4 linked regions of the Astyanax mexicanus genome follow. The protein of the gene in region 1 interacts with the protein of each later gene in a pairwise test. Links are inferred from orthologs where the notes say so. Each region holds a gene or a part of one and is shown on either strand. Other genes may lie near its edges.

Evidence for each region.
Region 2: the proteins of fxr2 (region 1) and MAP3K12-binding inhibitory protein 1 interact in binary tests that used the Homo sapiens proteins (3 or more experiments, as listed by UniProt). The two-hybrid records come from large-scale screens. The link is inferred for Astyanax mexicanus from reciprocal best matches to the Homo sapiens genes FXR2 and MBIP.
Region 3: the proteins of fxr2 (region 1) and rabac1 interact in binary tests that used the Homo sapiens proteins (3 or more experiments, as listed by UniProt). The two-hybrid records come from large-scale screens. The link is inferred for Astyanax mexicanus from reciprocal best matches to the Homo sapiens genes FXR2 and RABAC1.
Region 4: the proteins of fxr2 (region 1) and arl6ip1 interact in binary tests that used the Homo sapiens proteins (3 or more experiments, as listed by UniProt). The two-hybrid records come from large-scale screens. The link is inferred for Astyanax mexicanus from reciprocal best matches to the Homo sapiens genes FXR2 and ARL6IP1.

What each region holds. Positions count from the first base shown.
Region 1 is NC_064415.1:16,169,049-16,176,191, reverse strand, and holds the start of fxr2 (fragile X mental retardation syndrome-related protein 2), read right to left. Parts: upstream 3,024-7,143; 5' UTR 2,245-3,023; coding exon 2,194-2,244; intron 1-2,193. UniProt on the Homo sapiens protein: mRNA-binding protein that acts as a regulator of mRNAs translation and/or stability, and which is required for adult hippocampal neurogenesis. Specifically binds to AU-rich elements (AREs) in the 3'-UTR of target mRNAs.
Region 2 is NC_064421.1:23,788,495-23,795,358, forward strand, and holds the start of MAP3K12-binding inhibitory protein 1, read right to left. Parts: upstream 3,019-6,864; 5' UTR 2,965-3,018; coding exon 2,803-2,964; intron 1,369-2,802; coding exon 1,252-1,368; intron 1,124-1,251; coding exon 893-1,123; intron 1-892. UniProt on the Homo sapiens protein: Inhibits the MAP3K12 activity to induce the activation of the JNK/SAPK pathway. Component of the ATAC complex, a complex with histone acetyltransferase activity on histones H3 and H4.
Region 3 is NC_064413.1:5,389,705-5,396,894, reverse strand, and holds the start of rabac1 (prenylated Rab acceptor protein 1), read left to right. Parts: upstream 1-4,176; 5' UTR 4,177-4,290; intron 4,291-6,322; 5' UTR 6,323-6,324; coding exon 6,325-6,395; intron 6,396-7,058; coding exon 7,059-7,190. Other genes in the region: dedd1 (death effector domain-containing 1), read right to left, coding at 1-381. UniProt on the Homo sapiens protein: General Rab protein regulator required for vesicle formation from the Golgi complex. May control vesicle docking and fusion by mediating the action of Rab GTPases to the SNARE complexes.
Region 4 is NC_064426.1:19,378,831-19,386,471, reverse strand, and holds the start of arl6ip1 (ADP-ribosylation factor-like protein 6-interacting protein 1), read left to right. Parts: upstream 1-4,614; 5' UTR 4,615-4,721; coding exon 4,722-4,766; intron 4,767-7,377; coding exon 7,378-7,511; intron 7,512-7,641. UniProt on the Homo sapiens protein: Positively regulates SLC1A1/EAAC1-mediated glutamate transport by increasing its affinity for glutamate in a PKC activity-dependent manner.

The sequences.
Region 1 (7,143 bases):
CACTTCAGCCTGGGAAACCCTTACCCAAAACTCTGCACGACAAGTCTGGCTTTATTTTAATTCCAGAAAAACAAAACTTAAAAGATGAAGGAAGCCGATTCTTTGACAAATCTGCTTCACCATGCTTATCAATTCAGCTGACACCCCGTAGTGAATGGAGTGAATGTGTGTGAATGAGTATCAGGGACTGAAAAATAGACACTTTGAAATAAATTCTAAATTGCAGTTCTCTTTCAAGCTATCCATCAAAACCTGGAATGAATTAACTAACTATTATATAAAAACACAATACACAATACTCTCATTACTGAAAATGAGGGTCTTCCTCAATGAATGTCTGAGTAAAAATGAGATGGCTGACTGATTGGCTACTGGAAGACTGATGCATAGATCAATAATTAAAATCAATATTTGATTATAAACTTAAATATATAGGACAGTAAACATCTATGCTGCTGGGTTAATTCACAAAAACACCTGCATTATAATTATTTTACTAAACTGATAACACTCAGTAAATGCATTACATTCTTCTGTAATAGTAATTAGGATAAATACAAAAAATGTAATATTGCATAGGGTCAATATTTACAGTCTATCTGAGCACAAGCACAACTTCCTGTTTACCCTAAGATTCAGATGAAAAGAAACAGTAAATGAGATGAAGAAAAGTCAGAAAGAAAAGTAAAGTGAAGCATTGAGAACAAATTGTTAAAAGATGGATAGAAAGAAAAGAGGGGGAAATCGGCAGCAAAAATGAGCCGCTCAAAAATAACTAAGTGTAGCTAAAAGTTACTTCCACTGATTGGAACTGAATTAAAAACAAGTGAACAGGGGGGATTCCACCAAGCAGTAGTGTGAGAGGGGGATGGAGAGAGAAAGACAGAGAGTGTTGAGTGTCAGGCCTGATATCACCTGTTCTTCTTCCACCTGCTCTGTTCCCTCAGTCAAACCTTCAGAGAACCATGGGTGTAAAACGTGTGCCACACCATTACTACTACTGCACACACGAAGCCTGTGACATAACCAGTCCAAAGATACACATGAGTATGATCTCTGTGCTTCCAGGAGGCCTGAAATGGAGAGCCAGTGCCAAACCATTGGATTAAGTGTGCTCCTTAAAGACACATCTGAAAGATATCATCATATATGAGGGTATCATTCTGAAAATATTCACTTCAGATCATAACTGACACTCATAGCCTACTACTTAAAGTGAGCAAACCTCATCACTTCAGTCTTAGCCTGGCTGACCTAAAATGACTTGATTCTGACTCAAACTAGGCCCACCCTACTGTGCTAGACTAGGACAACCAGCCAGTGTACAAAACAAGCAAATAAACAAAACCCTCATTGCTAACAGCTAGGCTACCTGACGCAGCTCTTTTCTTAAAAAGCTAACTACACCACTAACGACAACAAACACCTCTCTGACTTTCTTCACCAGACTGGACTGACCCAAAGCAAACTGACATGTGACCAGACATTCTGTGATCCTGAGACCACTGCTGATGGGTCACTCTCTCAGACTGCTAGAAGCTAGCTTTATTATTATTAAACTGGAGGAAAAACATCCAATAACAAGCCTTTCTGTCCTGAGACGACCTATGTAACATGGCAGAAACAGTTAGAAGGCGGTTTTGTTTTGTACCCACCTCACCTAGTTAGTTAGTTAGCTAGCAAATTAGCAAGTTAACTAACCTAACTAGCTAGCATGTAGTATTTCAGTGTTTGGATACTGAGGAAGAGGGAGAGGAGAAGAAAAATAAATTCGGGAGGAGTCCTGCCAAACCAAACCAACGTGCCCCACAATGGCTAACATAACCTAGATAGATAGCTGTTAGCAAGCTAGCCAGCCAAATCTGACCAGTGGAAACAAATGATAACACATAGGTTAGCAGATACAGGCCAGGAGCTGCTGAGATACATCACCATCATAATTATCATCATCGTTATTATCATCATGTTTTTCTTGTTTGGCCCTTCTTTAGAAGACTGTAAAACCAAACCTCGTGCCATTCATTTATGCATTTAGGGGCCTTCTTGGTTAGAGCTTAGAGTAGTGCAAGTAAGTGCATGTAGCTAGTTAGCTAGATAGCTAACCTAGGTGTCTCAGATGAAGCTGCAGACTCACACATTTGATTGAGGACAGCATGTTGGCTAGCTTAGCTGAGTGTGTTCCGGTCTATTTACCTTATAGAAGGCCCCGTTAGAGCCGCGAACCTCCACCGCCAGTCCGTCCATGTTTGCCGGCGCAGCGCCGCTTTGAGAGTCGGGAAGCACCCCCAGCTTCGCCGGCCCTCCGCCGCTCTCCGGCCGCTTGAGGATTTCCAGTGTTTCGGGTGGAGAGGCAGGGGGTAGAGATGATGGGTAGAGAGGGGGAGGCTGAGCAGCAGAAGGTTTGTTTGGGCAGAAAGACACCCACCCTCAATTGCTTTAACTAATAACTCTACAACCGCTAACTGGCGAACTAACCAGTTAGTTAACTAACTAATCTAACGGTCTTGTTAGCTAGAAGGCTATTTTACCGTTACAGGCTATCGCAATAGCTAGGTTAGCTAACTAGCTAGCTAGCTAGCTAGCTGTTATTCTACTCGGCTGTGTAGCCGGCCACGCTCCCCCCTTGCTGTGGCTGTGCTGGGGTGCTGAGGGTGATGGAGAGGCGGTGTTAGCTAGCTAGCTTTAGCTAGCATATTAACTCAACTAACTAGCTAACTAACTAAGTCAGCGGCTAATTAGCTAGCTAAGCTAGCTATAGCTTTCTTTCTATCACTAGGTTAAAGCTAACACCTCCTTCCTTAGTTACCGGGCTCTTATAGCGAACTTAGCGTAGTTACGCTACGCGGCATGTATCTGTGTTGTTGAGCAGTCTGGACTCTAACGGGCTCCAATCTTCCACACAGCAGCGCTATCAGCTTAAAAAAAATACCCCAAACCCGCTGTGCTCTGCTACCGCCCGGCAACTCCTTTAACCCCCGTTGCCCGTCCCCTCGAACGCACGCCGTCAGAGTGAAAATGCGAGAGTGTGAATGACCCCAAAATGCCCACCCCTACTACTGGAAAGCCCGCCCTCACTGGAGACTAAACCTTTTCATTGGTCAGGGCACGTATCCATCTAAAACTAAGTCCTTCCTCATTGGTGGAGATGCCGGAGGCCGGGTCAACACGAAGTCCAGTGCCTGCGCTGCTGATTGGTGGTAGTTTTTCTTTACTAAATTTAGGCGACTCTTTTCACTATCCACGCCAATTCACAAAAGCCTGTGTGTGCGACGTGTTTCTACTGCTGGGAAAAATAACAAACACGACCTATTTTAGACTGTTTGAGACTATTTATTTTTCATTATGCTCCTTTTCTTATTTTATAGAGATTCATTAAAAGATAAATGCAGCTGAACTGGCAGGTGAACTTGTAGTATTGCCATATGGCCTCATAAAGCCACTCGAACCTTATTTCCACAATGCTGAGGTACATAGCGAATTTGAGAAACACACTTTATTAGCTTAGCGTTTGTTTATTAGATTGGTTACATGGCTATATGGTCATAAATACACACTCCATTAACACGGTAATGGTACTGGACATGTAGTAAGTAACTTACACACTTCATTAACACGGTACTGGACATGTAGTAAGTACACTTTATTAACACGTTACTGGACATGTAGTAAGTACACACTTCATTAACATGGTACTGGACATGTAGTAAAGACACTTTAACACGATACTGGACATGTAGTAAGTACACACTTCATTAACACGATACTGGACATGTAGTAAGTACACACTTCATTAACACGGTACTGGACATGTAGTAAGTACACACTTCATTAACATGGTACTGGACATGTAGTAAACACACACTTTAACACGGTACTGGACATGTAGTAAGTGCCAAAGGTGTCACAATTCATTATGCAGCTATAAGTATAGATACTAGGGTTTAAAGCTGAATTTTGGAAGCTGAATTATGAAAGAATTGTAAAAGTTCTGGTTTTAAAACTGCTTAAAGTATAACATTAAGAACAAAAGCTTAAGCCACACCACTGGAAACTATAGTGCATAACCCCCTCCCAAAAAAAAAACATTTTTCTAAAAATCTTAATGACTATAATGTCATATTAAAATGTTTATGCTGAAAAATCTTGTAAAGTATGTAAAAATATAAATGCTAAAAGACGAAGATAAAGCTATCCGAACAATGTCAAGTTACAGAGTTTATTTCTTTAGTACTTGTTTTTAAGACTGGCTACATGGCTACGTGGTAATAAGGTGAGTAGCTCATGCTTTGGGATATACACTTTGAGGCAATTAGCTAGCATTGTACTGCACATGTAATAAGTACACGGTTCATTAACTAGCACAAGCATAGTTTATATAACTGGTCACCTCAATTGTTATGATTTTTCTCAGTCTGTACCCTTACTGTAGCCTATTAGAATTCATAGACTAAACCAACAGGAGTACATTCTCTAAAATGTAACAACAATTACAAATAAAAATGCAATTAACTATTTACATAATCATTTCCACAGCATGCATCTTCTACATATATCACAGGTAAGTAAAACATAGAGTGACATAATAAAATGCAATAATTAGCATTTACTCTTTTTCAGGTTTACTGGATGCTGCATGCTGCCACTCCCTAGGGACACAGGTAAGTATCACTTTCAAGTTTATAATTAGTCTTTTTGGTTAAAAGTGAAAAATGTCTTTGAGAAGTGTCTTTCAAAGGTGACTTTATGGTTACCTTTCCTATCACACATCCCTAAATGAAAATTACCAAATTGTTCCCAATTTTCCTCTTCTGGTGCCTGTTGCATGTGTTACAAGACCTCAGGTGTGAAGGGGAAGCAGGTGTGTTTAATTTGATGTTATTGCTCTTACACTCTCTCATACTGTTCACTGGTAGGTCAACATGGCACCTCATGGCAAATAACTTTCTGAGAATCAAGAAAAACAAGAATTGTTGGGTGGTTATGGTTTTAAGGATGTAGGTTGTAATGGTACAAGTACAAACTTTAAGTTACACACTTTATTAGCATGGTACTACCATGACACGTTAAGGTATATCTTTTGGGGCCATTTAGTAGTATTGGTTCATATTGTACTAAATGCTGACTGGGTTCATTTCAGAAGAAGCAATGAATGAGAAGGGGCTCTAATACTTATACTGGTAAATAAAATGAAAACAGTAATAATAAAAAAGAACGCAGACTAGCTATCCATATTTGTTTATTAAAGCTACCCTGCATATAACAGTTGTTCATTTATTTGTTGTATACTATTTCAGATGTTTGCAGACTCTACCTAGACAATATTGTTTTAATTAAGACAACCAACAAGGTATATTTTCTAATTGACATTAGTGCAATAGGATTTAACACGAATACTTGAATATTAATGTAACTGGGTTATTGTCAGTTGTTAATTACCGGGCTGCAACTCTTTTTTGTTGTTTTTTGAGGTGCCTTTAAGGCGGTATGTAGTGGGTTTGCTGTCCTCTTGTTTATTTTATTTAACTTAAAGTAAATTGTTTAATATCCTTAATTTCAGAAGAAATAATAAATGAGAAAGTGTCTCAATACTTTAGTCCATATAGGGTCAGTCTCCCAGACCGGGCTTAAAACTAGTCATAGACTATATTTAATTTTTAATTAATAATCTCCATTTAGACCAGCTTTAATTCCTGTCTGGGAAACTGACCCATAGTTTGTAATTGTGATTGTAAATAATGTTTAAGTATTAGGTATATTCAGAGTGAGAAGCATAGAGATGTTATGGCATATCTTATATATGTTTTGTTTCTTTTGGCTCACATAAGTTTGCATTCATATGGCTAAGATGGCTATTTTTTTTCTAACTTTTAATTCTTCATATTACATCTAATCATTTGACCACAGTGGATTAATAATTTTCCATACAAAAACAATAGATGGAATGTACAACTTATAACATAAAATCCTTTAATTTATTTCCTTATCATAATAAATATATTATGGGGACATTAATGGAGTAAGAATATCAGTAGATGAGTGAGGAGGGGACATATGTGAAGAGGCTAAGTGGTAAAATGAAGCAGGCTACTCGGAACAGCTGAAGACGGCAGAGTTAAGAGGTCAGGTTAGAGGTCATCTGGTCCAGATACTATGACAGTTTTATGTGGCACACATGTAATGACGTGTGAATGCGACTATGAGCTGAATCAACGCATGTTTGAAAGGTTTGCTAAAGAAGACCTGTAGAAGGTTAGATATGTTGTGTTGGCTATGGTTAGTAGGGTTTTCAGTGTGTTTCAGTATTTCAAGCGTCTGTGAAAAGCTCACAGGGTAAAACAGGTGCTGGGAAACACAGCCAGATGTCAGTTGTGTTCTCTGCCTGAAATAACAAAAACAAAAGAAAGCTACTGAGTGTTTTTACAGGGTTCTTTTCACTGCCAGCTGTGTCAACCTGGTTTTTTGGTGTTATATTTTTTTCCAGCAGAGGGCAATATAGCCCTTGCTGTGTCGTTCCTTCAAAAATTACAGTCTACAGATGTCTAGGTGTGGGTTTTTATAGGCTAATCTGAAAATCAGTGATTTATCATGAAGTGATGTTTTTCAGTAAGTCCAATAACCAAAAGAGTAAAATGGAAAATTTTAAGAAGACAACCTTGGATAACAAATCTTGGATTACACTGCAAATCAAAATGCGAAATTACAATTTGTGTCAGAGCAGTAGTCATTTAAATGTCGTCCTGTGCGAACATATGGGGACCTTTAGCCGAAAGACATTTAACACTGACATGCCAAAAGTCACGAGATAGCATATGCAAATTACTAATTGAAGTGTTACCTCAGAGGACGTTTGGGAACACTCACACCTTCAAAAACTGTGAGGTGTTATCTTGTAATTGAGGTTGAACATTGGCCAGCATGCTCATAGCAAGATGGCATCAGCTATAAGAGTTTAAGATAGACATTTATGATTCCTTGATCACCAGTATGTATCATATGTGCACTGGGAGTACGTCACATAAGCCATTACCACACATAATGAACAGTGCAGTGCAGTAACCGGCAGTATCTGCTAGACAAGCAACTCCATATTGAATGCAGTAGGCCACACATGCATGTCCTGCTGGTTAGTGCAGTGTTCTTTAG
Region 2 (6,864 bases), on another chromosome or scaffold:
ATGACATCACAGTTAATCCCCTTTTTGCCTGGCCCACACTACAGGATAACTGGGCCGATTATGATGCCGAGTTGTCCTTCCCACCATTTACAAAAAGTCTCCAGATTTCAGGGTGATTGTAAATATTTGAGTGTTAATATTTATGTTAATTATTTATTTATTTATTATTTATTTATTTTTATTTTTTTGCATTAGTTACTTTTATTTTGACATGGTCTGTTTGGTGTTTTTGAGTTGTCTCCATACTCTTGTGGCTGTCCATGTCAGCATGTAAGGTAAAATGTTAAAAAAATTACAAATTCTGCTTTTTGTATTGTAAACAGTGTTTTTTTTTTTTTTTTTTTTACTTTAATTTATTGCCTTTGCATATGAAAACTTGAAAACTCTGGTCCACATGCTATAGCATTTATCGTACTTGCTAAATGAACAGAGCTAAATGTAACATTCCACTCTTGACTAACTGCAGTTTAGAAAGTTTTTTTATGCTGAGGCTTTACCATGTTTCAGTAGATTCTCACACAGGATGGCAAAACTCTGCATTCCATATTTTTATAAATAACTTTGCCTTACTGTCTGAATTTTCTTTCTTTAAGTCACATGATGTACATGATACAAATAGGGCCACATAAAAATATATATTTCACATAGATAATGTTTACTTTGTTCATTTTAATCTACTCAAATGGAATGCACATCAGACAATTTTTATTTAGTGATCCATTTTAAATGATCATTTTTAAATATTTCTACTACAAAATAATTTAAATTCTAAATCAGTTACGAATAACTCCACTAAAGCTATTATACCAGAACGAGCAACAATGAGCCACTTTCTGCATAATTCCTAATCAATGCATTGCTATATTGTGCATAAGATGTGCAAATATTTTACCTCAGCCTTGCCAGCTTTAATCTGAATACTGCTGTCATCAATCTGGGTCTTCGCAGTGTCTTTAAGGGCAGTGTGGTCTTGTGATGTGGTAGAAATTTGCCCTGGGTCTATCTCCATTTCTTGGTCAGATGTTGTTACCAACTCTTTGCTGGATTTCCTGGTTGTTTCTCTACTGGCTGATGTAGACTGATTTTCCAATTCCACAATATGTTTCAGGTTTGAGGATATTAGCTGAAAAACACACAAACAAACCCCATAAAAAGCTACAGTTGGTAAACCGTACCCAATGACCGTACTGAATGACTGATTTGACTATGACAATAGTCTTTTTCTGGGAATATGTCATAAAATGTATTTACCTGTAACTTGGAGATGTGTTGTTGTAAACAGTTGTACACATGGGATGGTTTCAGGTCAGCAACATTAACTGCATTCACGTTGGCAGTGATGCTTAAAACGCTGGTGCATAATTTTAGCTGGAAAACAAGTACCAAGGAGCTTAAGTATAATTCTAGTGTCTAAATATTTACCATTTAATTTAAACTTGTGGTAACAAGGTTAATAAATGCCAGCTCCCTTTTTGTACTATGTACAAAAACAATGTCTACCAAACTCCAGCTTGTTTGATTCACCTGATTAATACACTAATGGGAACTATATAGTATTGTAAATGTTACCAGACTTAAACCACTTTTTTGGGATGTTAACATACTATGTAATTAATTTTAATCTTTCAAGCCAATCTGAAGCATCCAGCTTTTTACACTCATGTATAGACATCAGGGGTACTAAATAGTAAAGGGCAGAAAAAAACAAAAATATTAGATTAAAAAAAAGAATGTAGCAGTTAAAAATACATTGCCCATGACAGACTAGGGTTAAGTTACCTGGCCAGCCAAGCACACCAACCTGCACTAATAGGTATTGTGGTATGGGTGATATGACCTCAAATCAATATCAGGATTAACAATTATCTTTGTTTGTGTAAAACATACTGATAATAAATTACACATTGTAGGTAAAATGATAACCCATATTTTGAGATCAGGAAACTTGTTTATGCCAAAAGAGCCCATGGTGATGTATGTCACAGACCCTTTAAAATTTGTTTCTACTGCAACCTGTAATGTTTAATTTATTTTAGCTTTTAACTCATGAAGTTCCTAAGTGACATATACAGAACATCCTAAGAGCATAAAACTAGCTCCTTTAAAAATTAGTTTTGTTTTGACAACTGTCCCACCCATCCGGATGTCGAGTAGAAAAGCACATATGCCACATAGTGGCAATCATAGTGGCAGCACTAAAGCCCCCTTGAGCACTTTTCAAAGTTCTCAGTGCCTCGTTTTAAATGTCAGGGCGCTCAGAATTCTATCAATGAAGTGTGCAGCTATTTTAAGCTTGTTAATGGTGTAAAAACAGTGATTTCTCTGCATGGGCAATGCTGTGCCATATCACTAGCACTGTAAGCCTTTTGGGAGCTTCGGCTAAAAGTGCTGCCTTTCAGAATGCTGGGGGTGAACCGAGTTGGACTATTTAACAAAGGTTTGTAATCTTTATCATGTTTCACTACAACTCAAGTCTATTTCACAAAGGATTTCTCCTTTACACTGTGTATTGAACATCCAGTCCTCACACACGTGCAGGAAATCTGCAGCAGTGTTTTAACTAGCTGCCAGTACACAGTCCTGGTTTGTAAGAACATAACTAGCTAAAAAGCTAACAGACAGCGTGTACACGGGTGTAGATTTCCAGCACGTCTACACCCTGAGTCCAGGCGCTGTCTGTGTGTATGGGTATATTTGTATTTGAAGCGACAAACGACTGTAGTTACGGTAATAAACTGCATTCAGCTCTTGCTATATATATATTCAGGTGTAAAACTAGAAAAATACGTCAGTATAACCAACCTCACAGCCCAGCTCAGTGAGAGACCCGAGCAGGGAGGAGAAACACTGTCTGAAACTCTGGTTAGGAGTCTGGTTGGGTCCCTCGTTAGGGCGCATTTCTCCGCTCCTGCTCTCTTGTTTACTTTCCTCGCTGGACTGCAGACCCGCTCCATTCGCCGCCATTGCACTTCCGTGTCCCTCCGCGCTGCTGATTGGTGGAAACTCAACCGGAAGTGGCTGCTAGGAGACGGAGAGAGAGAGCGAAAGACAGAAGAAGAAACCAGTAAACTCCAGTATAACGTACTATAAATAACCAGTGGTGAGTCTTTCCCAGTTCTGCCTCCTCACTTACTCCAACCCAGGGCTGTGCAATATGAATAAAGTGCAAAAGGTCCGTTGGCAAAAACTAGAAAGGAGCACATGGTGACGCATGTCTCACAAATCCTTTAAAAAATTGTTCCTACCTGTAACTTTACATTTTTCATAGTTTTAACTCAAAGTTTCTAAGTGACATATGTAACTGAGTTAAAGTAAAAAAAAATAACTACATAAAATATGTATTCCTACAAAATTATTATTATTATTATTATTATTATTATTATTATTATTATTATTATTATTATTATTATTATTATTATATTAACCTTAAGTGAACAAAAGGGACTCTTGTTATGTTTTATACTCCTGTGGGAGGTTAGTTGATGTGCTGTAACAACAAAAAGATTATTGTTTTTTTGTGCTTTTATATTTACTACAGTTCTCTGCACCAACCCGCCAACGCCTTAAGACTTCAACCCCCAATTACGACTTCAAGCCCCCTAAAGGGCTAAAAACGATAGTATGGGGTATTTATGCCTGGAAGAATATTGTAATAGGAGTTCAAGCACCCCTATAGTGGATCATACCATTCCATGTTAATAAGCATTCCTCTCGTTTACCTGCCTGGCTCATTATTGGTCAGGTGACTTGCGTCTAAGTTAAGGTGCACAAGCTGCCCAAGCTACAGCATTACGTGTAAGTAGCTTGCTATCTACTTAGCTTTCTTAAATATGCACTTTAAACACACTTTTCCTTACATAAATAACTCACAGGAATTTGCTATCCAACTTTAAATGCTGCTAATTTACCAATCCGCCTTAAATGCTGCTGTCGCGGCACACAGGCTGTAGATACAATTTTTAGCGCTTTTAAGGTGGAACAGAACATTCAAATGGGAATCCACGTTCTGTTTTACATGGACTGTTTGTTTTTTCTGCACACCCTAAGCAGAAATGTGTAAAACTCTTAAAACACTTTTATCATCTACTACAGTCTAAAAAGTGTGTTTTAATGCAGGGAAACTGTTAAGGTGGAAAGGAAATGTGAACAAGAAACTAAAAGCTTATCTTTTTATTAGGTTACTTTGAAAATGACCAATAGCCAAGCTTTTAAAAAAAATGCATTACCGAAGCTATATAAATGCATTCCTATATCTCCTCTTAACATTTAATATTGTCGTCACAGTGTCAAAATATGTGGATAAGATGGGACAAAAGCCTTATCTACAGGGATTTAAGTTACATTGTTATTTTCTATTTTTTTTTTTTATTAAATAACAAACGATTCCTGTGGGAGAGATCCTGTAGAATATGAATAAAAAATTAATAGCGAGAAAGCTGATAAAAGATAGCAGCCAATAGCATTGCGTTTGTTTTTGGAGGATTAACTGTGGATTTTGCTGTATAATATATTATGTATGATGACTATATAGGTTATTGTGTGGTATGTGCTAGATTAGCTAATGTAATGGATTTATCTTTTACGTGCTGTAGACATTACAGTAAGGAAGCGAGACACTGTAAGGATTGTAAGACTTCAGTTTAGTGAAGCGCCTGCGCTGTTTCCGTTTACACCCCGAAGAAAAACTTGACCCCCCCCCCACTGTGTGATAGTCCATTCAAGACTCTTAGCCCAGAGAAGTTGATTCCACCTCTGTTTTGTTAATGTAATTCTGTATTGCTTAACAAAGGTTTGCAAAAGTAATCTTGTGCCCATGTGATTCTTTTAGCTCTTGTTGAACGCAGATTCTTGATGCAAAAAAAAACCCCTCCAGATTCTCTTAATATTTTTTATTGATATTATGCACCATAGAAGGAGAAATATGCAAGTTCCTTCCATTCTTTCTTTGCGGAACATTACTTTTATACATTTAAATAAAAAAATCACAGAATTTCTTACAAACTGGTGATTCTCTTCCCGTCTTGTCTCTTCAAATTCTCAGCAATTCATGGATACTGCTTTTGTTTGTACCTGATACATAATAAGATTTTTTTTTACCTCATTATCCTTAATTTGTTCTTTGACTCACTAATAAGAGTTCTTGATCTGCATTACGTAGCATCTTTCAAATCATCTAAATATATGATGGAGGGTCTTTTATGACATTGGCATGAGTGGTTACCTGGATCACTGTCATTTGATACAGCAGCTGTTAGCTAAATAAGTTCTGAGGTGTAGTAGTTATTTTTTTTTTAATTGAGGAGTTACTTTCTGCTTAAATGCAGTGACCGCACCTATAGATAATGACCCACAATATACATTAAAACAACCCAAGAATATAAACTCAGGAATTAAAAACAAGCATTTTGTAATTTGTTTTGTAATATTTGAGCTTGTGAAAAATAGAAGGATTATTTAAAATCATAAATCCTAAAATCTTAACATTAAAATAAATGGCTAAAGCAGTTTTTTGTTAAACTCTTTAAATGAAAGCTAAAGGTTTAAGCTTTACTGTTAACAGTTTCATATTTTTGCAAATATCAAATCCGTTAAAATGGTGTACAGAGGCAGAATTACATATAGTGTCTCCCTGTTCAAATATGTATAAATCCTTTATGAGACAAGAAAACATTTTTGGCCTATTATCTACTGATATAATATTGTAGGCCAATTATTTTAAATCTGCATCCTGACATTATCTCATAGTGCTTTATCGGTAGCCTGTAATATTCAGCTGTCTGTTTGAGTCATGTGATGGCACTGCTTCCTTTAGCTAATGACTGTCCATGTCAACTAGGCATCATTGCTAAATAGGGTGAACTTGTGAACTGTGTCCATCAAGGTATCTTGACCTTTAACAGAGTGTTGATGAATCTGACACTGATTCAGTATCGACTGTTTCCAGTGTCACTCTCTTGGTGATGCTGTCAGATTCTGTTCTCTAAATCATCTGTTTTTTTTCACCCAAAGAAGACTCTGAAAAGGCTACTCCCCATTTATAGTAACCCTGACTGTCAAACAAATGTGTAAGGACGTTAGGAATGGGAAGCTTCCCACAATGGTGTATTTTTCTGTGCTGAAGGACTGTGGGAAAATCTCCCTTGGCCATTCATACATTTTTCTTCTTCTTTTCATATAATGAGGGGAGACTGACGAACGCAACAACAGGAAGAAAAAAGAACAATTGCCATCAACCACAAAGCTCTTAGTTCTGAACTCAGTTCTTAATGTTCTCTGGACAGGTTAATCATTTTAGGAAGGGTTTTGAGACAAACTCCTCAGCTCCCATTTGTTCTGGGGTGCCGTTTAATTCTTCCACTGTGGGGAAGGAACTGTAACACTTGACATCTTTTGACATTTTGCAGTTAGTGAATATTCCCACACTGCAAGACAGAAACAAAGAATACTGCTCATTTTTACAACCAAGACATGCAGCCAAGCTGAACCTTAGAACATAAAAAGCACACATTAAATTTTCCAGTTCAGTGCTTAATTATTTGTTTACTAATTTGCAATTAATTGCTATGGATTTTTGTGGACAATTTAACATTTATCTAATCAGGCAAAAGAAGTCCAGGCTCTCTCATGCTTTCTTTCTTATTCTTGATCTCTCTTTCTGTCTCTCTCTTACATTTAAATCCGGATTGAGTTTCCATAAAACATAAATGGTTCTTTGAGCAATGCAATAGACACTTTTGGTTCCATAAAGAACTCTTTGTCAAAGAGATGTGTAAGTGTTAAGAATTGTCATGTGATTTAAGGGTTCTCTACCAGTTTAAAGGTCTTTTTCGTGATTAGTGTATGGTGTGTTGTGGTCAATAAATG
Region 3 (7,190 bases), on another chromosome or scaffold:
CAGGTTTCCTTCATGCAAAAATCCACGTCTCTCCATTTCCAGCAACAGTTCCGTGCCACTTTTGGGTCTGTGACGGCCGAAGGCAAGGCAGAAGTCCCCTCGCGGGCATATTCTGCGCCAAGCCTCCAAAAGACGCGGGCAAGGAGAGTTTGAGGGCACATCGGAGTCCGGAGAGACTTCCTCTGTCCATCCCTCTGGATCAAGAGGGTGCCTGCCTGGGTAAGCTTCGTCGAGAAGAAATGATAGCACTTCAACGTCGGATTCTGTTAACTGGGAACCCACAATCTCGAAGACTTCATGAAGAGACAACATGTCATAATAGCTCAGGCAGTCTGTCTCCTCCCAGTGCAGGGAGTATCTCGGGCAGCGGACTGTTGCCATGATTAGCTGGTTACCAACAAGTGTCTGCAAGTTTCTGCAACAGAGAAACATGTTAATAATAATAATAATAATAATAATAATAATAATAATAATAATAATAATAATAATAAATAACATTAATAATATTAATATTAAAAATAATAACAATATGCAACATAATCGTGTATAGGTCCTACGATTCTGCAAAATTTTGTGTTTCTATGTCAAAAGCTGTGGGAGGAGTAGGGTTACAAAAAGGGTGCAATAATAATAATAATATTAATAATAATCATAATACGAAGAACAGCATGTAAATAAAAACATAATAAACACATACACACACCAAACACAAACTCCACCACTTAAGGTAGAACTGAAAATGTAAAATATCATGCTGTATGACTGCAAGAGGAAACTTCTCTTAAGCAGATGACACGTCAAAATACGACTCATGGACCAAACATGCCCAGTCTTCCGCACTGCCGGTGTTCTGTCGAGTCGCGATACCCATCAAAACGTGCTACTTAAAGGTTCTGCGCATGCGTTAATTCTCTTTTTTTCTATTTTCACGTGTTTTCCTGATAATGATGTTTTTCTTGGGATTTTTTTGCTTAAGTTAGATATTTTTTTTACAATAAAAATATAATAAACAATAACTATAAAACAGATTCTAATCACATATATTTGCCAAGACTTTAAACGCGAGAATGATGTATTTTTCGTAATGTTTACCTTTAAATACACTAGGGTAGCATGTTTTGACAAGGTGGCACAAAATGACAGAACACCGGGTTACATCACGGTTCTAGTGCACGTGTACAAATTGCGTAATGTCACGTTTCAGCTGTCACTTGTAACAGCTGTAGCTAAAGTTGCTTCTAAACACAACACTTAACTCAAAATTACCTCGCGTTTCAGCGTTTTGGAGCGAAATAAAAGCGGACGAGTTCATGCAAGTCGGGCTACAAAGCTATCCGCGCGACCTGCTGTGTCAGCAGTGCTGTATTCACTTTGATTACGGTACAAACTCATATGTATGTTAAGCTTAAAGCGTATATAACACTTCTTAATTTTATTAGTAATACAACAATACAACAATAAAAATTGACAGAGCCACAGCAACGCTTATTTTTGAAGTCAAAAGACAAATTAACTTTTATTTATTTTATTTATATAAAATGTATTCACCTTTTTCTTTCTGTCTCACACTCGCGTTGTCATGCACACAAACACACACAGCGGACTGCATATTTTCACTCAAGCTGTTGAGTGTGGAATATGGAGCTACACTAGTGTTAATTTTCTCCATTCAAAATCACATTTACACTAAGTAACTCAGCATATTACAATAGTCTATTCTACACTGAGATATTATTATACAGTAACAAAAATGGACACAGTTTGCCAGGTGTTTATCACCATACACCATTATTTTTGCCCCTTCCCAAAAATACAGTTAAGTACCAGCATTAAAAAAAAAATCATGATTTTATCCACGATTTAGTCACACAATATTGTTGTGATTAATACAATTATTTTAGGGGTTGGCACCAATAATACAAATCTGAGTGTTTCTAACATTGATTACTTTATTCACATGTGAATACCCATTATGAGGCTGTGTGATTTATAAAGATTAATCTTAAAATTCTATTGTAAATAATTCGATTAATATTTTAAATGAGGGTTTGAAGTTCTTATATGATATAACCTAGCTTAGCTAGCTAACCTAGTAACGAACTAACTAACTAACTATACAATAAAATAACTAGCAAGGAACAGGTAACTTACCATCAGTTCCATGCTAGCTAGTAGGACAGGGTGACATTTAAAAAATACTAATTTTGATATTTTCCAAATATATAATCGATTTTCAGTTATTATTTAGATTTTAACATCAGTTTTCACTTAATGTGATAAGTAAGCTATTGTTTCCTTTACATTTCGTTTATTTTTTATTTTAGGAAATAGTAAACAACCCCCTTCAACCTTCCTTTAACATTAGCTTTTTTTATTTAGCTTTTATATACACGGTGCAAGCATAGTCCTTGTATTTCAGTTAAGGAAAAGTGTACAGTAAAATAGTTTTTTTTCTGACAGAAGCAACTGTCTATCTACTGAGATTATCTCTGGTAACGATAGCTCATATGTGTAAGTATGTATAAAATAGTAACTTAGTTAAGATAATTCGATTATTCATATTAATTCAAATAATCTCCCAGCCCTACTAACTGGCTAGGTTAGGTAAGTTAATTAATTACCCAGCTAGCCTAGCTATGTAACGTTACTGTAGTATTTGGCTAATGCTAACGATATATTACACACTAACTTGACTATTAGGAGCAGTTCCATGAATTTAGTTAAACTAGCTAGTATTTTTAAGCGATAATTCTCATATTTTTACAGTTTCCAGCAACACTCCTCATTCGAGAACATTCCGTTTTTCGGTTTTACATCGGGAATTTCCGGCCTGTCAGGCTTTATAATCGAACTGTTTAGACAAAGTCGGTTATTTTAGATTCCTTTGAGTTATTATTGCATGTTTATTAATGGAAATTATCAACAAAACCGACGACAGTTCTCTAAATAGAAGGTTTACCGAGGTTAAGGGATATCAATAAGGCCCCTGTGGACTAAGCTAGTTACGCTAGCCAGCTACACTTCGCCTGACACTTCTGCCTGCCTTAGCTTAGCAACAGAAAAACAACCCTAACCAGCGCAGCCGTCGACGGACCACACAAAAATACCGATTATCAACACTAAATATACACTAATATTAAAGTTCACCCCTCTTTATTCGGTACAGAAATGATATAAACCTTATTTTACCACACTTACTTAGGTCAAAGCAAGAGGACGCCCACGGTCAGCTTTCTCAAAACATCCCTTCACTAGCTTAGCTACAACGGGGCATACAGAATAACAACACCGAACAGCCAATCACAGCGCGCACAGCACACGCACCGTGACGTCCCACACACCGCGACCAATCACAGAGCGCTCTGCACCTTTACATGTGTTATTTTTCAATATTTTTATTGTATTTAATTTTTCGCTGATAATAATTGATGATGTACAGTATGTATACAGTACTAGTCAAACGTTTGGACAAACATTTTCTCTTTCAGTGTGTTTTAGTTATTTTTTATAATAATTACAAAACACTAGACTGTTCTAATAGTAAAGCTGAGCTGCAGTAATCAATAAAAATTTGCAGACTTTACTGTTTTTAAAAATATCTAAATATGTGTGGACGGGCCTGAATGAATACCATCTTTGAGGGCTATGTCTTATACAAAGCCCTGCATGTATTTGGCCAAATTTTTAAATTTTATTAAATTTTAAGAATGGGTTTCAGACTAAAAATCTTAACATAATTTTTAATACACTTGAAAAATTTTGTAAATGTAATAGTTTGCTTTTTTAATGTATATACATATTGTGTACACCTTAATGCTAGTGGGGAAAAAAACTACACACTTTGCTTTTACCAAATTGAAAAACTCTAAAATATAACCAAGAAGAAGATGGATGATCATGAAACTATCAAACCTTCAAACTAAGCTGAACTGCTTGAATTTGTGCACCAGGAGTTGCATAAATTTATCCAAAAACAGTGTGTAAGACTGGTGGAGGAGAACATGCCAACATGCATAAAAAAGTGGTCTCTCAATGTTTTACAGAACTGTATATTTTCTATCAAGACAAAGTATAATATAAAGCGTATTGCTTAAAATACATTTGATGGAAATACAGAGAAAGTATATTTAATGTATATTTTCGTAAAGTATAGTAGGCAACACTACTTATACACAGGTACTTACCGCAGATGGCAGTGTTCAGTATACTATACTCACTGTTATAGTAGAAGAAGCAGCAGCTCCACATCATCTGCCAGCAGAGCACAATATAAACAGGACCAACATTACAGTAAGAAGCGATTTTCTCTGCATTCTGTACGATTTAAAACCATTTTAATGTGTAAGTTATATATTCTTATAAACTACTTGCGTGTATAGTTATCTATTACATGCCCAGCTTTTATTGTGTAATATTACAGGGTGTAGAGCTAGTAACGTTAAGCAAGTTAGTTATTAGCTTAGCCTCGGTGGTTTAACGCAAAACTAATCTAAAAAAAAAAAACAGTAAAAAAAAAAAAGTTTAATTTTAGTTAATTTGGTAAATTAGTGACTTAAAATAGTCTTAAAAAATTGTAAAATTGTATTTTTGCCTTTCTTATACGGTTCTAAAGGGCTGGGCATGAAGTGACAAAGATTTTCCATTAGCACACGTAGACGTGGGTAAGCCAGGTCCAGAAAGTAAAGATCCAACCCAGGGTTTTCCACCAACTGCAGAGCCGCACAGGCCGTCGGTGCAAAACCATGGGTTGGGTTTTCACTTTCTGGACCTGGGTTACCCACCTCTAGACACGAGCTAACCAGTTAGTAGTTCGACTTGTCCATCTTAAATGGGGCAGGAGTTAACGTTACATTCAGGCGTCTACATTTGAGGTGGAACGGCACATTTATTTTGCAAATATTTTTAATTATCTTGCCTTTTCCTCCTGTTTTAAAATTAGGCATATAAAAGCAGCTAGCAAATAATAAAAAAAAACAAAAAATAAAATAAAAAAAATCTTATTTTACCTGTGTAATTTTATATTTTGTATATATGCTACTAGAGTTAAAGTAGAAATACACAATATTTTGACAAGCAGACAAAACAGAAAAAGCTGTGAAAAAATCTGTGATTCTGCTATTCAAATACTTTTTATTCAGTACAGTGATTTTTTATTAATTTCTTTGTGGCATATGTAATTAAAGAATATAATTAAATTTAAATGTATCTATATTTATGTATAACCCAGCAATAACGTAGTGTACGTTCAACAGGTTAAAATAAGCTTAAAACAAAAGCTGTGTATTGTTCCTTGAATGGTCAGCTTCCTTTGTGCTTCCTTTATTTTAATTTAATTATTTTTATTTCATTTTTTTGCACAATGTAACATCAAGAAATTATTTTTGCATAATGTAGTGGAGTAAAATGTAAATTTAAAATCGTAGTGGATAGAAGTTAAAAGTGACCCAAAATGGAAATATTTAAGTACCCACTAATTCTAGAGACACAGCCAAGAGCATGTAATATTAAAGCTGTCAACTAAATTAGGACTTTCTCTTGTTCTCTTAGTTGTGTACTTTCCAGCGGGCTAAGGTGCTGCCACTATGATCGGGAGATTGCTGGTTCGAATCTCGTTAATGTAGCTTGCCATCAGCTGCTGGAGTCCTGAGAGAGCACAATTGGCCTTGCTCTTTCTGGGCGGGTAGATGGCGCTCTCTCCCCACATCACTCCAAAGAGTGATGTCAATCAGCACAAGGCGTCTTCTGTGATCTGATGTATCAGAACCGAGTCACTGCGCTTTCCACTTTGAGTGTGAATTGTGTGGATAAAAGTTGCCTACTAACAAGGCTACAGATGTTTACCAAAAAAAGATAGTCCTCATATAACGGAGAATAAAACTGTTAAAGGTATATGTGATATATAACATTTGTTATATTAATATTCGTAATTAAAATACAATATGTATCCATATATTTGCACTTTAAAGCCGCATTAAAAGCTTGTTGGTCATTTTTAGGAACCTAATGACGTATTTATGATCTCTCAGACCGGTCAAACAAGATTCTTTGCATTCTTTCACAAACCCTGAAAGCTGAATATGGGGTGAGAGGTTTCCATTGACACACCCTTTCTAGCTTTTTATTTAAGGTTATTGAGAAATAGAGGTTGGTGGCCAAGATGTTCTACATTATGAGGTATTGTCTTTCATCTCTCTATGAGACTGTAGCAGGTCCAGTTATATAAGAATACATTTGCATCATGTCTAATTGTGTAAAGTCTGTGTAGGCATTTTACGGTAAGATAAGTATATTTGTTTCTTTTTCTTGGTGTGTTTGATTTTAGAAATGGATTCGAAATTGAGTGACCCCTTCAGCAGCGATTCAGAGGAGCTGCCCGCAGCAGGAATAATGAGCAGGTGAGAAAAATCAGAGTTTAAATGTTTTTGTAGGGATGTATTTCTTAAGCAGTTAGGGATGCCCTAGACTTATGTTTTTTATATGAACCAGCAGCCAAACATGCTTTTCTGCACCCTCTACTGGTGACAGTAGAGGTTTTCTTTACGTGTGTATGTGTGTGTGTGTGTATATATATATTATTCATTTTTGTTTTTATCCAATTAAAAATTTACTAATCTAAAAAATAAATCAACAGATTAATATATTTAGGTAAAAAGCGAAAGTAATGGAAGCAGTTACAAAAACTCACTGTAGCAACAAAATCTAAATATTTGCCAGAATTTGCCCCATTTAAACCTGTGATTACCAGCATTTTGAAAATAAAGTCCCTATGCTCTGTAGGCCACACCCCACATTTAAAGCCTGATTGGACAGCACAGGGGATTTAAACAGCTTGTGTTAATAGTGCAGTTCAGGGACTTATTGGTCTCTGACCTTTATCTTCTACAGAAGAGAAAAATGGGTTGCCAGGTCTCAGGAAGAGATACTGATCATATAAACCCAGTGTTGTGTGGTAACCTGAAATACTGGTTCTTTTCTAATGGTGGTGGTTGTTGTTTTTGCATATTGTAAAAGCGTACCTAACAGATGATGCACGTCGCTCTGTCTTCCTACAATGTCAGGCTGCTGCCCAAAGGCATGTCCGGTAGCATGATGAAGGAATGGCTGGACCGCCGGAGAAAGTCCATCCGCCCCTGGGCCGGCTTCGTGGATCAGCGCAAGTTCTCCAAGCCCAAGAACTTTGGGGAGCTGTG
Region 4 (7,641 bases), on another chromosome or scaffold:
TTGGCAGTGGGTCAGTAATGGTGTGGGGTGGCATTTCTTTGGAGGGCCGCACAGCCCTCCATGTGCTCACCAGAGGTAGCCTGACTGCCATTAGGTACCGAGATGAGATCCTCAGACCCCTTGAGACCATATGCTGGTGCGGTTGGCCCTGGGTTCCTCCTAATGCAGGACAATGCTAGACCTCATGTGGCTGGAGTGTGTCAGCAGTTCCTGCAAGATGAAGGCATTGAAGCTATGGACTGGCCCGCCCGTTCCACCAGACCTGAATCCGATTGAGCACATCTGGGACATCATGTCTCGCTCCATCCACCAACGTCACGTTGCACCACAGACTGTCCAGGAGTTGGCGGATGCTTTAGTCCAGGTCTGGGAGGAGATCCCTCAGGAGACCATCCGCCACCTCATCAGGAGCATGCCCAGGCGTTGTAGGGAGGTCATACAGGCACGTGTAGGCCACACACAATACTGAGCCTCATTTTGACTTGTTTTAAGGACATTACATTAAAGTTGGATCAGCCTGTAGTGTGTTTTTTCACTTTAATTTTGTGTGTGGCTCCAAATCCATGCCTCCATTGGTTAATAAATTTGATTTCCATTGATGATTTTTGTGTGATTTTGTTGTCAGCACATTCAACTTTGTACAGAACAAAGTATTCAATGAGAATATTTCATTCATTCAGATCTAGGATGTGTTATTTGAGTGTTCCCTTTATTTTTTTGAGCAGTGTATATATATATATATATATAACTAGTCTGCCAAATGTAAACCACACTACAACATTATTACTGTCCTCTTCTCAAAAATTGCTTAAATGTAGTCATGTTTAATCACAGAATATTGTTGTGATTAATAGAAAGGGATTTTAAGACACCAATAATGCAAATATGTGTTTCTAACACTGATTCTTTATTCACATTTTTAAATGCACATTAAAAAGAAGTCTCAAGAAAGAAAGTGCTTAGTCATGATCACATAATTCTGATGTGATTTTCATTATTTGTTTAATTGATTGACACCACTAGTTTTATGATATGCAAGATGTACCTTTTGATGTTATTGGAAGTTTTAAGTTAAACACAAGATTCAAGTTGCTACAGTTGTCATACATTCTTAGGACGTTGCAATAATAAGTAAAACATCTTTTTCCCCTTAGGAATGATATTGGAGGTATTAGGGGTGTCACAATTTTGATATTTCGTCGAAATCGATCGAAATTGTGTCATGGTCTCGAGCCTTGAAGTCAAAAAGAGCATCGACGATCCCTCCCTCTAAGCTACGCGAGCTACGCAAATGGCGCAGCACACTGTAGCCGACGCCGCCGGACATTGTGACTGCTCAAAGAGCAGCCCTTTCTCCAGAGAATGTGGACATTCTCATCTTCTTAAAGAAAAACTTGAAAATATAAAAATAACAGTTGTTTTGTCTAGTCTCAAATATGTTAATAGTTTTGGTACCTTAAGGAGCATCTGTCTCTCAGATAAAGTTAATAATATATCTTTGTTAAAGAAAAAAACTTGTCATTCTCAGGGACTGAAAAAGTCTTAGTCTTATTTTTCATGTTTAACTGTTATAGTAGGATAGAGTTCAGTTTGTAAAGGCTCTAATTGTTCTATTATTTTGTACATGACTGTTCCTGTATTTTTTATTATTTATTTTGTTAAGTTGCACATTTGCTGTTTTAAAAGTGCACACTGCTGCTACCAAAAAAGCCACTACATGGCATTACATATATATCTTAATTAAATTATTTTAATTTGACCATTAGTGCCTAATGTGGTTTATTACAGATCACTTGTATCACTTTGCATCATTTATATCAAGCCCACCTTTTGAAATATTGTAAATTTGATTAATCAAACCAATGGCTGACCATAGACTAATCTAAAACTGGCATAGGCCTCTCTGCTGTACGAAAAAAAAAAGAGAGAATCGCATGAAATCGTGACCATAAAATCGGAAATAAAATCAAATCGAGGATTTAGAGAATCGTGACACCCCTAGGAGGTATGGGTGAATATGAATATAACATGCCTTTTGTGTCTGCAGCATAGTTTTAAATTTAATTTAAACACTGTAAAAATAGATTGTTTAAGATTTACTATGAATAATCACAAACATATTGTTACAAATATAGATTATATGTTCATCTTGACTGTGAAGTACATTTTGTACATTTTATTAGAGGTGTCTTCAACTAAAGATTTTTATAGTCGAATCTGATTCGTCAGATTTTCCCTTTAGTCAACTAATAGTCGAATCATTTTTTTCCCTATAGCACCATAAAAGGGATCCCCATTCTCTTCTGGACTTTTTTTCACTTCAAAGGAAAAAAACTAAAACACAAGTTGGGAAATGTGTTGGCTAACTTTGTTAGACAGGCACTGTGCAAAAAAAGTATACAAAAAAAATTACAAAAAATAAATTATGTAATTTCTATTATTATTAGAAAAATAACAAACGAAAATAAACCCAAAATGTTGACAAAAATATAATCTAACGAATTTCAAAACACAGAAACGAAAAACGTTAAAATGGTATTAATATAAGATGATATAATATAACAGCTGGATCAAACAGTTTAGCGTCAGTCATAAGAAAAGCGCGCGCGGCATAGCGATTAAAAAAAACGTTTTAATAAATAAGGTCCTATCAAGTGAATTAAAATATATGGTATTAAAAGGTATTAAATTCACATATTTATTGTGTTTAATCAAGAGAAATCAGGCAAAATGCGCCGCGACGAGCTGAATTCAGCGCGAGGCTTTAATAATATAAAAACTCAGTTTAGTAAAATAAATTAAGATGAGTGAGGACCTGTAAAGTTAATAAAATATTGTCAAATATAAAGGATAGGTTGAGGTTTTGGGGAGCTGTTTCAGTTATTTTAAACTGAAACTAACTGAAACCGATATTATTCTGCGCACTATTAGATAGCCTTTGATTGTGTTTTAAATGAGTTTTTATTTTATATTAATTATTTTTTATTCATTTTAAATATTTTTAGTATTTTATTGATCAAAGTCTTTTGTATAAGCCTTCATCTCACTGTTTTCATCCTCCGCCTGGTCCTCCTCATCCTCATCACTGACCAGCAGCATAGACATCACTGTGTCTTTATGTCTGGGCACAGTCGGCCCAGCATCCACCACCATGTCACTTTTCTCCAGGGATGATCTGTCAGTGAGACTCTCGGCTAATTCTGCTACCGCTGAACACGCCTCTTCTCTTTGCGCATCAGAGAGAGAGGAGAGCTTCTTAAAGCAAATACACCGGCAGACGCTGACAGCCCTGTAGCGTGTTCAGCTCCGCTCATTTGGATTGTGCAACTGCAGGGGGTGATATATTAATGTGTAAGAAGCCTTTTTGTTAATGCGCACACGTAATTAAAAACAAATAACAGAAATTAGTACGATTTTATTTGACAAAAGGCAATATATTACAAAAAACAAAGACATTTCCTATAACAACTAATGCTTAGCAGCCTTGGGCACCCCCATGCAGTCAGAATAGTACATTCGACTATGAGGTTAATAGTCGAATAGAGGTCCTCCGAATCAAATAATCAAATCAGCGACTATTGCAGGTCACCCCTATTTTATATTTTATATTTATATTCTATTATAACTATTTTATACAGTTTTTTTGTTGTAATTGGAAGTTTAGGCATTTTCAAATATTCATTTAGCTTAACATTTAGCTATTTAATCCTGTCCACAAATTCCCTGCTCATCTTGTCAACTTTGGATAACCCTACTCTGTAAAAAAAAAAAAAAATAATAATAATAATAATAAAATAACCTTTGGTTTCAGTGACATCACAACCTTTAGACTTTTTCTCTATCTTCTTCAAGGGACTAAAGACATTCTGAATTTTCAAAACAGTCAAGATGGTGTTTTAATTTGCCTGTCTTACCATCAAAGTTCTCTTAAAGGTGTTCTAGATCTTATACACAGCACTAAAATCTTGTATCACCAGCTGAATATGATATGCCTTCTTTGTCTCTTTAAATATTGTTTAATTATTAAATTGTCATTATTTTTAAGTACTGTCATTTCTTTATTTTGGGGTGCTAGTCATTTTGAGAAAAAATATTATTTTGAGATGATTTCCCTAAAATATCAGGAAAGTAAGTAAATATTTTGAAAATAAAAACATTATTTTGAGATGATTTCCCTAAAATAACAAGTCAAAATAAGGTGAGTTCCCTAAAATATCAAGAAAGTAACTTATTATTTTGAGAAAAAATACATTTGTAAATGATTTCCCTAAAATATTAAGAAAGTAAGTCATTATTTTGAGAAAAATATATTTTGATATGATTTTCCTAAAATATCAAGTAGTAATTATTAAAAAAAAAGATAATTCCCCTAAAATATCAAGAAAGTAAGTCATTTTAGAAAAAAATTATTATTTTGAGATGATTTCCCTAAAATATCAAGAAAGAAAGTTTGAAACACTTCTCTATATTTTGACATGCATTAGTTATGCTTTTGGAATGTCGTGTGTAACAACGTAACCATTTCGGTTTTTGAATTAATTATAAAAAACTTTTATTCTTTCTTTATCTTTTGTATTTGAAAACCACATTTCCCATGAAGCTTTGCGCTCGAGTTTGAGATAAAAACATCCTGCTTGTAACCGTTAGCTGCCAGTGAGCTGCGCATTTCTCCAGTGAGGCGGTTACTTCTGCTAGCCCGGTGAATTCACAAACACACACACATGGACACCATGGCAGAGGGCGACAATAAAAGCTCTAATCAGCTGGTAGGTGTTCCGGTTTATTTACTCTACAGTGTGGAAACGAGTATAAAGGGAAAAAACTAACTAATTAGCCGGTTAGCTTAGCGCGGACTGTTTACAGCGGGGAGGGCTAGCCGCTCGTATAGCTAACTCCAGCTAGCTGCGCTAGTCCTGTCACTTTGATAGCCAGCGAGCTAGCTTAGGTTAGCCAAGCAGCAAGCTAACTTAGCTGGCTAAATTACTGATGTAAAATATATAGTAGTTTAAGTGTGTTCTCCTGTTTTATTATTAGCTTAGTTTAGCTTAGAATTATTGAGGTTACTAGGTTAGCTAACTGTAAATTAGCTAGCGTTCGCTGGTTAATGTTATAGTGAGCACGGATGCTGGAGAATTTGAGAGAAAAGCTAAAGAGAAGAAGACTTTTTAATCCAAATAACTGATAATGGTCTGATATGTTTGCTATATACAGGATATTTGATATGAAAAATACAATTATTCCTGCCTGCTGTTAAAAGCTATAGTCAAGCTTTATTAGCCAGTTAGTCAACTAGCTAACTAGCTAGTTAGGTTAGGTGTGTCCCCACTTCCCCTATTATTGCTCAGTGAACACATGAACCAAACCCTTGTTCCGTGATAAGATAATAGCCATATAACGCTAGCTCAGCTATGTCGACCACAAATGTACATTTAGCGAGTAACGAGGAATTAGAGTTATTAGCTAGTTAACGCTAGCTACGACGCGTTTTAAACTGACACCACCTCTATCAGTTGACATTTCATTTCCACCTTAAATGTAGCTGCAGTTAACTAGATGCTCAAGCCTCTACAAGCGCCTCAATAAAAGTACTGCATAATTTAAGGTGGAACGGGACATTTAAGTATATCTAAAGCTGCGTAGTCTTTAATTTGGGAGTAGTTTCCTACACGAATCTCACTTTATTGTCGGGTTATAGTGAATCACAATTATCTAATATAGTTAGCTAGCAGCCTTACTGTTAAACATATACAATTTTACAGAGCTGTAGGTTAAATAACCTACAGCTGAGTCAAAGAAATAGCTAGTTAGCCAGCAAGCTATAAGAGGTCTGTTTTTTTAGGCCTCATTCTAAAGCAAGTTTAAGTACAAGATAATCTAAGTAGGTATAAATCAGTAATGATTTAAGTTTTAGACTAATTATTTCATGACCTATATAGTAGCTATCTTGGGCTTAGGGCGGGACTGGGCATCCAGGCTCTGTTTGGCACAGGCCTAGCTTCTGCAGTATGTACCTGAAGTCTGGACCAGATATTGCCTGTATTGATGTATCGTGATTTTTTTATGTGGATGATTTACACTGTTATTTTTTTTGCTTATGGTGTTCTTGCCAATTGATAAATAATAGAACGTTGTAAAATGTTTTCTGCTTAATTTTAACATGCTATTTAAAAATCATTAAAAAACAATGGAATCAAGCCATAGCCCTATCCGGATGGGATTAGTTTCTCAGGGGGACGTTTGTGAAAAATATTTCACACTTTTATTCAGTGATAAAACTCTTGCATCCGGACTGCTATTGAAAAACAGGAGGACCAGTGAGTTTTTTTTGTCTTTTTCGGTCACATTACATTGTGATCAGTAGCTCCTCAATTTCCACTCGCTGTTGTGTTTTTACATGGCTGTCCATTGAAACATGCACCTAAAGTGTAATCCAGTTTGTTGCAGTGGACAAATAGCTATTTTATTAAACGCGAGGTGAAGAAATTCAGAAATGGCGTCCAGACAGAAATAAAATTAACAGACAACCACAGAGTTCAGCGAAAAACAGTAGGTAGTTCAGCCTGTAAGTTTTTCAAAGGATGTCTGACAAAAACACATACATGGTCGTTCTGGACGGGATTATAATCACAGAGGACCCCCATAAATGAGAAAATGACCCCAGGACCCCATGAGAAACTAATCACGTCTGGAGAGGGCTCATATCAGCCTTGTAAGACCAAAGAATTTTGTGATATCATAGCACCACGGAAACATTTATTTGTTAGCCTTATTAATTTTGATATTATAGAAATGATTCATCCCACCTCACTTGTGACTCCTGTGATTTTAAGACAGAGCTAGTGAGTGACAGTGAGGGTGTAATACAAAGATCCTGATTGGCTGTCTTTGTGCTTATTAGTGTTAGTATTGGTGTTTTCTGTTGACAGGATTTACACTCAATCTCTCTCTTTCATAGTGCAGTAGTTCATTTGCAGAGTGGGATGTATGCTAGTAAAAATATTATTTTATTATTATTATTTACCCAGTTTAAATTAGGTTATATGGCACTTTACTGACATTACATTCATCTACGGCTGTATCTGAAGATATTCAGGTTAAAATACATGTATTCAAGCTTTCAGTGACCTGAAAGGATATGCTACATTCTACTGTGTGTTGTTGCAATCATGGCACTGGGCACTGCCCATCCATGGAACAGGACAGAATGTTTTTGGGGATGTAATGCCTGTTATTTATCCCTATTTTACATGCTATACCTAAAAAACAGTACTGTCATATGGCATCACTACCTGCATAAGACAGATCGTGCTCATCCCTCCTATGTGAACAGACTGTTTTCTGTTCTGTTGTTGACTGTAAATGTTGTATGTAATATAGGCCCAGGAGACTGCGCAACTCGAGGAGCAGCTTCAAGGATGGGGGGAGGTCATTTTGGCCGGGGACCAGTTCCTGCGGTGGGAGAAGCCATGGTTCCCCGGTGTGCTGATGGGTGCCACCACAGTGCTTTTCATGTGAGTTAACAGATAAGACACAGTTCACACTGCCAACTCCACCACGCCCACACACTGCAATTAGAATGTGTTGTATAGGCCTCTAGGTTTTTGAACAGAATTATAGATAAAATCTACAGCAAATAAGTAC